2 linked regions of the Caenorhabditis elegans genome follow. The protein of the gene in region 1 interacts with the protein of each later gene in a pairwise test. Each region holds a gene or a part of one and is shown on either strand. Other genes may lie near its edges. The genes, in order: lido-15 and pas-4.

Region 1 (3,905 bases):
CAACTGCCAACTAAACAGTTTCCGTTAATTTGGGTATTTTTGAGCAATTTCAAGACTTGAAACCGTGTTATTTCTATCAAGCTGACGTTTAAAAATTGGAATCACGCATATTGATGCTTGAAAAATTGGTTTCGCGTAGAAATTTTGTCATAGAGTTAACTTGTTCTAATCGGTTCGAAAATCAATGATAAATCAACCAAATATTGAATTTGTTCAATAAAATTTTTTTTTTAATTTTTTTTAAAGCAATATTAATCCCAATATTTAATTATTTTTTCCAAATTTCATCTTGAAAACTCGAATAATCGCGAAATTTCGCGTGAAATTCATTTAATACCGTAAAAGTGTGCAAGCGCGCTCCGTTGGACTTTCCAATTCTCGATTTTCACAACTCTCCCGATTTGAGGCGCTGTGATCTGCAGTTTATATTCTAGTTAATTGTTAAGTCTTATAAATCAGCTAAAAACCAAAAACTCATATTTTTTCAGCTATCACTGCACAATAATTTTTTTCAGATAGTAAGCTCCGAGTTGACGAAACACTGAGAAGCGCAGGAATTAAAGACGGCTCGGCGGTTAATAGATGGGAACCGTGCCCATATTAATACTACAATGTTGCTTTTTTATTTGGAAATAAAGTTATTCGATAACATACGTAGATCAACAAACAATTTTATTATTAAAAAGATTCATCGCTTTGAGTTCCGAACTGGAAACCTTGCTGCTAGATCGCCGAACACCTCTGAAGCCGTCGAAAAATCCGCGTCGGGCTCATCAAAAGCAAGCACGGTGTAGGTGAGCACAGACCGGATCAGATTGGTTTTCTCGGGATATTGCTCGAAAATTCGTTTGATTTGCTGGCTTATTCGTTCTGTCTCTACTGCCGCTGGGCTGGATTCTCGAGGGCGTTTTAGAGACGGCTGAAAGTTTTCAAAATGTTGAGGAATATTGCAAATAAGTCTAAAAAACGATACCTTCTCCTCATCCTCTGCTTTTGGATTCGGCACTGGTGGAGAGATAGGTGAAGGTATTGAAGAACTCGACGAGCTTGCCTGGAGCATCTGACTCAGCTCATGCCTCAGATTCATCGGGTTTTCGAAAGCATTGAGAAATGGATTCTCCAGCTTAACCTTGGTGGGAGTCGAGGTCGATGAGACTTGTGGAATAAGAGATGAGAGGTACTTCATGGCGCTGAAAATTGGAATTTTCTAGAAAAATTAAATACAAGACTACAAGTTAAATTACCTATCATTCTCCTCAACCAACGACATCATATCGGGCTCTTCGAAGAACGATTGCATATCCTCTCCGCTGACGGGCTCCGAATTCCTCGCCTCATTCCCTGTTCGTTCTGCTCGCAACTGCCGATACTTGTAAAGCTTGTCATAGTAAAACCGAAGATCCTGGAACAGCTCCCATTTCTGAAGCTCAAGCTCAGTCTGGATTCTGCTCATTCCGCTCTGGACACAATTGTGAAGACGCTGGCCGAGATTCGACTTGATACTTCGGAATCCGGATCGCATTTGATCTACTGAAACCAGGATTCCTGTCCGCTGAAAAAGCTCGATTCCGACCGTTTCCCAGCGTTCCCGATCAATTTTTTGGTTGCTATTCCATAGGTCTTCTTTTGGCTCCAAAATGTTCAGAAATACTTTTTTGATGAGATTGTCCATCGGGAACTTGGTCCCCTCAATGTGCTCGGTGAGCTTTCGGTAGTCGGTGGCGTTCATCGCGAGCATCAAGTTGAACTCTGAAAATTTTTAAAGTTTTTAGTTAAAAAAAAAGAAATTTGTTTTTTTTTAAATAAAAACTAAAAGATTCTGAAAGAGACAGAGATTAGCAATATTAATTTTTTTCTCTATTTATTACGTGGTGTCAGGCTATCCCATTACGGTGTGATCTACAAAAAATGCGGAATCTTTTTTGCCAAGAAAAATGTGACGTCAGTACCTTGCGAAATCAGATGAGAAATCGGCGTGCTGACGCGTCTACTTTCCCGCGATTCATGTAGATCATGGGACACCTTGGCACCACGCGAACTGATAGTTCAGGACCCCACGTTGCCAGTAAGTTTATCAATGGAGCGCAATTGCAGCTTTACCCCTTTCTCGAGAAAGGTGTAAAGCTAAACTTAGTGAAGCGAAAAGTCAATATTAAAACATTTTTTGACGATGAATTTCGATAAAAGTGGGAAGAGAAAAAGTGAAAAAAAAAACTTTTTTTAGAGTAACATATTTCATTTCGACGACAAAAACTTTCAGCATGATAACTGGGACATAAAAAAGAGGTCGAAGAGACGCAGACAATGTTGAGCACGACAAGAAATTTGTTGTTGACGCGTTTTTGTTAGGCAGCAAGGAAAAATGTTCAAGGAGAGTGATGGGGAGCAGAGAAAAAAGGAAATTGCTGAGGGAGAGAGAGAAAGTTGTTGATATAATAAAGTCAGGGAATGATATGAAATTGAACATTTTTTTGGGTCTCGCCACGGGGTACTGTAGCTAGGAACGTTTAGCTTGCGGCAAGACCCATGACGCTTTTTTCCGGCCAATGGTAAATTGCCGGAATTGAAATTTCCGGCAAACTGGCAAAATGGCAATTTGTGGGGATTGAAATTTATGGCAAATCGGCAAACCGGCAACTTGCCGGAATTGAAATTTCAGGCAAATCAGCAAATAGCCGAGTTGTCGAATTTGCGGGAAAAAAGGCAATTGTAATTTTGCACATTTCTTTTTTCGAAATTTCAAATTTTCAATTTCAAGCGGCAAAATTGTACGCATTCTATGAATGTTCCTACATTTATTTTGAAAATTAAGCAAATTCTATGAAAATATTTAATGAAAACGGTACAAAAATTTCAAAAAAGCATAGTTTTAAATGTTTTCGTCTTATAAAAAATCACTCTGAAAACTTCCGGCAAATCTGATATCCGGCAAACGACAAACCGGCAATTTGCCGAAAAATGAAAATTTCCGGATAAAAGGCAAACCGGTAATTTCAAAAAATTTGCCAAACGGCAATTGTCGCCCACGTCTGAATTGAACCACAAATTAAAAGATATTTTTTAGTTTACCAAACGCAAATTAAACTTTTTTGAAAATTAGTTTTGTCAGTTGTCAACTACGATTTGAAAGTCGATACTAGTTGTGACAAACGTGCTGCAAAAATGTGGAGTGCGGCAAATAATAATGTGGACTGAAGGGGGGAAAGATATGAAAAACTGGACGAGAGATAGAGCATTGGAGACGAAGAGACGCAGACTGGCCGTGGGGTGGAGACGACAAGAAATTTGTTGTTGACGCCGCGTCGCTTTTTGTTAGTCAGCAAGAAAACTGGGAGAGAATTATAGAAAACGAGATAGAGAGGTGGAGGCGCAGGGAAAGAGGGGGACAAAGTTTTTGATAATGTGTGTGTGCAGCCATAAATATTATACTTTTGATATTAAACGCCTTTGGAGGGGAGCACAGCGGAGCAAGGTAACAAATTTGAAAACAAAATTGTTGTCATGGAGATGCTGATATGAAGAGATGAAGCTTTAACATAAGAATTGAGTAGGTTTTCCTAGGTAGGCAGGCGTATGCGCCTACTGCCTATTCTTTCTCTGGTCGCCTTTGGAAGCAGGGAAACTGGTTTTTAACTCAGGGTTGGGCGGCAATTGTCGTTTGGCAAATGGGCAATTTGCCGGAAATTTTCAATTCCGGCGATTTGCCGGAAACATTCAATTCCGGCAATCTGCCGGAATTTTTCAATTCCGGCAATTTGCAGATTTTTCAGAAATATTCAATTCCAGTAATTTGCCGGTTTCCCGATTTGCCAGAAATTGTCAATTCCGGCAATTTGCCTGTTTGCCGATTTTCCGGAAATTTCAATTCCGGGAATTTACCGGTTTACCGATTTTCCGGAAATTTT
Region 2 (3,617 bases), on another chromosome or scaffold:
TGACTTCCATAAATCGGCAAAAGCGCTACAGTAGTCATTTAAAGCTACGGTAGTTTTCGCCACGAGTATCAGTATACGCATTATCAGAATTTATTGCTCCCTCAATATGTAAGGCGTATATTATGATTAATATTCTGAAAGTCTTTTTTATTTTTGAAACTAATTTATGTAACAACGTTTTTGAAAAATAATTGTTATCGTCTTCAATTATATAAAACGAAGTTCCAGAAAATTGTTGAAAATAATTTTATGGTAATTTTTATATAATAGTTTATTATATAAAAATTAGATCTTATTAATAGATCTAATAAAATTAATAGATCTAATATTTGAAAAAAAAAGTAGCCGTAGGGCAATGGCATCTTGTAAGTCTAGGAGGAGACTTTTGAAGGCTTATAAATGAAATATATTCAAATTTGCCTCCTTTCCCTCTTTTTGTACCGCTCACTTTTATTCGGAATTTCACCGAAAAGGTCCTCTGCTTGGGAGAGGAAATGTATAGAACAATTTGCATAACCACTGCCACTTCAATCGGTTCATCGAAGAATTTTGAATGAAAAATGAACTTCAGGAAAAAAAATGACTGTGATTATTATTGCAGAGATTATGCGTTCTATTCGAAAATGTAGGTTAACTTATAAAACAAATCTCATTTAAGGATACCATATTTCAGAAAGCTAGAAGTTTCAGAAACCATTGCTCGCCGAATTGGAATTTTCTTTATATATATTTTTCTCTTTTTTTCAAATGAACCCCACAATTATCTTGTCATTTCGAATATATAGCTTCTTTCTTTTCATGGTTTTAAAGGAATTTCGAAGATTTTAGGGAAAACTTTTTCATTCCCGTCAATAAAGATGAATAAAATAAATTAGGTTTTGAAAAGGGGAGCAGATAACTGGGAAATCAATACACACGGATAATGGACAGAAGACAAAAGTTCGAATCTACTTCTTCTTGGATGCAGCCTCTTCAGCCTCAGCAGCCACACGTTCTGTCTCAACAACCTTCAGGAGAGCCTCGATTTCTTCAGTTGACAATACACGTTGCTGCAGCTCATCCTAAAAAATTAAAATTAAGGACCATCTTCAATTTAAAAAAATGTTATTACTGAAAATAATCTCAGGTGGAAATCACTTACATTAACTTTTTTCATGACTGCAATCTCGATATTTTGTGATCCTGGTGGTACGACCTGAGCCAGCGACTTTACAACCAATTTAAGAGTGGTAGCTTCGTCGACAGTATTTTCCTCGCTGTATTGCTCCTCAAGGTATTCACGCACTGGTTTCTCTCCTCTTCCAGTCGCGTTGGCAACGTACTCGTAGTAAGCTCCAGATGGCTCGGTTTTGAAAAGACGTGGAGTTCCGTCATGATCGAATCCTCCAATGAGCATTGAAATTCCGAATGGGCGACGTCCTGGAGATTGTGTGAAGCGCTGAAAATCAGTAAAAGTTATGCTTGCATAAATAAAATATTTATACCTGCTTCGTGTTTGCAATATATCTGGAGATATAGGCAACGGTAACTGGATCTTCAAGAGTCAACTTGTACGACTGGCACTCGATACGAGCACGATCAACAAGAACACGAGCATCTGCGGACAATCCAGCAAAAGCGAGCATCACATGGTCGTCGATCATATGAATTTTACGGATTGTGCGGTCATCTTGAAGAGCTGGAATTGACTTCTTCTCAACACCGATAACAATGCAATCCTTTCCGCGAACACCGACCTGAAACATTCATAATTATAACTTGAGGTTTTAAAAATAACCGTATTATTTTGAACCATAATTCGGGAAATTTTAGATTTTTAGATAGATAATATCAATCATCTACATTGAATTTTTTGATTTATTTTTAAATATAAAACGATAAATAGATCTAAAATCTTCTTGAATCGGGTGCTTCAATTCTAGCTGATATCATATTCATATGAAAGTGCAACTCATATAATTTTCTGCCAACTGATTTTCATCAGGGGAACCACTCACCGCAGTCGAACCCTTCTTGACAGCTTCCTGGGCATATTCCACTTGGAACAAGTGTCCATCAGGGGAGAAGATAGTGATAGCACGATCGTATCTGTTCATCTGAAAAATTTTAAAATTTGAAATAACTCTGAACCATTTTTAACTTTAAAACGAAAAAATAATTAAAAAATGATTATTTGAAATTGTGCAGTGACAAAAGCGCACAGTTGAAATGAGTGTTACCGTACTTCGCTTACCAACCGAGAACCTGAAACGACACTCCGAAATAACGAATGTGCGTGTTGTTTAGCGACGTTTTGTTTTGAATTTCTGTTCGACTTAAATGTTTTCAATTCAATAATTAGATTTTTCATTTTTCCTTATAATAATCATTTTTAGTAATGCCGTACGCAAATCAACCTAACATCGAGGTTACCGAACTGACAAATGATATAATCAAGTTTGTACTGTGGGACACTGATTTGAGTGTCGCAAATTCACTGAGACGAGTTTTCATGGCAGAAGTGAGTTGTTTCCTGTTTACCATTACTCTTTCTATATTTTTAATTACATTTCAGGTGCCAACCATAGCTATTGATTGGGTTCAAATTGAAACTAACACTTCTGTCCTCCACGACGAATTTATTGCACATCGCATGGGTTTGATTCCGTTCATATCTGATTATCATGTCGAAAAAATGCAATACACCAGAGTAAGATAGGGTTGAATCTTTCACAACTTTTTAAATGTTGGTTTTAGGATTGTGAATGTGCCGAGTTCTGCGATGAGTGTTCGATACCGTTCATTCTGCAGATGAAATGTAAAGATGAAGCTACTTTGGCTGTTACTACCGAGCATCTAATGCCAATGCATAATTTAGACACGGTAAATTTAAAAAAATGCAACTCATTTTTTTTTAATGGAGTGAATTAAATTTCAATAATAATATTAATAACGTTTAAATAAAATCGATGAGCAATCTTATTAGGGTCCGTACTTCACTACATTTGATAAATATTTGAATTGGAATTTTACAGACCGTCCGACCAGCTTGTGGAAAAGCACTACGTGAGCGTGGATCGACCCGTGACGAATTTCACAACAGAGAAGAGATTCTGATTGTAAAATTGCGTAAGGGACAAGAGCTTAACCTAAAAGCCTATGTTAAAAAGGGTTTCGGAAAGGAACATGCAAAATGGAATCCCACCTGTGGAGTTGCATTTGAATATGATCCAGACAATGCTCTCCGACATACAATTTATCCGAATGTTGAGGAATGGCCAAGGTAAGAACTATTATCAGTATTTTGTGAATTTCGTACATTTTTTTTGCAGAAGCGATCATTCATCTTTACCAGAAGACAGCACTGAAAAGGAGGCACCATTCGAGCCGGACAACAAGCCTAACAAGTTCTGGTTCTCTAGTAAGTCACGGTCAGATATTTTGCTTATAATTTTAAATGTTTCAGTCGAAGGAACTGGTGCTCTTCCAGCACAGCGAATCGTGACAATGGGAATCGGAATCTTGAAGAGAAAACTGGAGGAACTAAATATGGCTCTTTCAAATGAACTTCAAGCTCATGCCCAGCAGCAGTAAACTATTTGGATCTCTAATTTATTTACGTTATTATTAACTCTTCT

Evidence for each region.
Region 2: the proteins of lido-15 (region 1) and pas-4 interact in a two-hybrid assay, tested with the Caenorhabditis elegans proteins (2 studies listed by BioGRID).

Annotation. Positions count from the first base shown.
Region 1 is NC_003280.10:3,810,130-3,814,034, reverse strand, and holds lido-15 (MADF domain-containing protein), read right to left. Parts: upstream 1,754-3,905; 5' UTR 1,730-1,753; coding exon 1,245-1,729; intron 1,191-1,244; coding exon 974-1,190; intron 920-973; coding exon 689-919; 3' UTR 607-688; downstream 1-606.
Region 2 is NC_003279.8:8,726,392-8,730,008, forward strand, and holds pas-4 (Proteasome subunit alpha type-7), read right to left. Parts: upstream 2,097-3,617; coding exon 1,998-2,096; intron 1,737-1,997; coding exon 1,485-1,736; intron 1,439-1,484; coding exon 1,142-1,438; intron 1,062-1,141; coding exon 948-1,061; 3' UTR 827-947; downstream 1-826. Other genes in the region: rpb-3 (DNA-directed RNA polymerase RpoA/D/Rpb3-type domain-containing protein), read left to right, coding at 2,378-2,500, 2,555-2,689, 2,737-2,862, 3,015-3,262, 3,312-3,400, 3,446-3,573. UniProt on the Caenorhabditis elegans protein: The proteasome is a multicatalytic proteinase complex which is characterized by its ability to cleave peptides with Arg, Phe, Tyr, Leu, and Glu adjacent to the leaving group at neutral or slightly basic pH.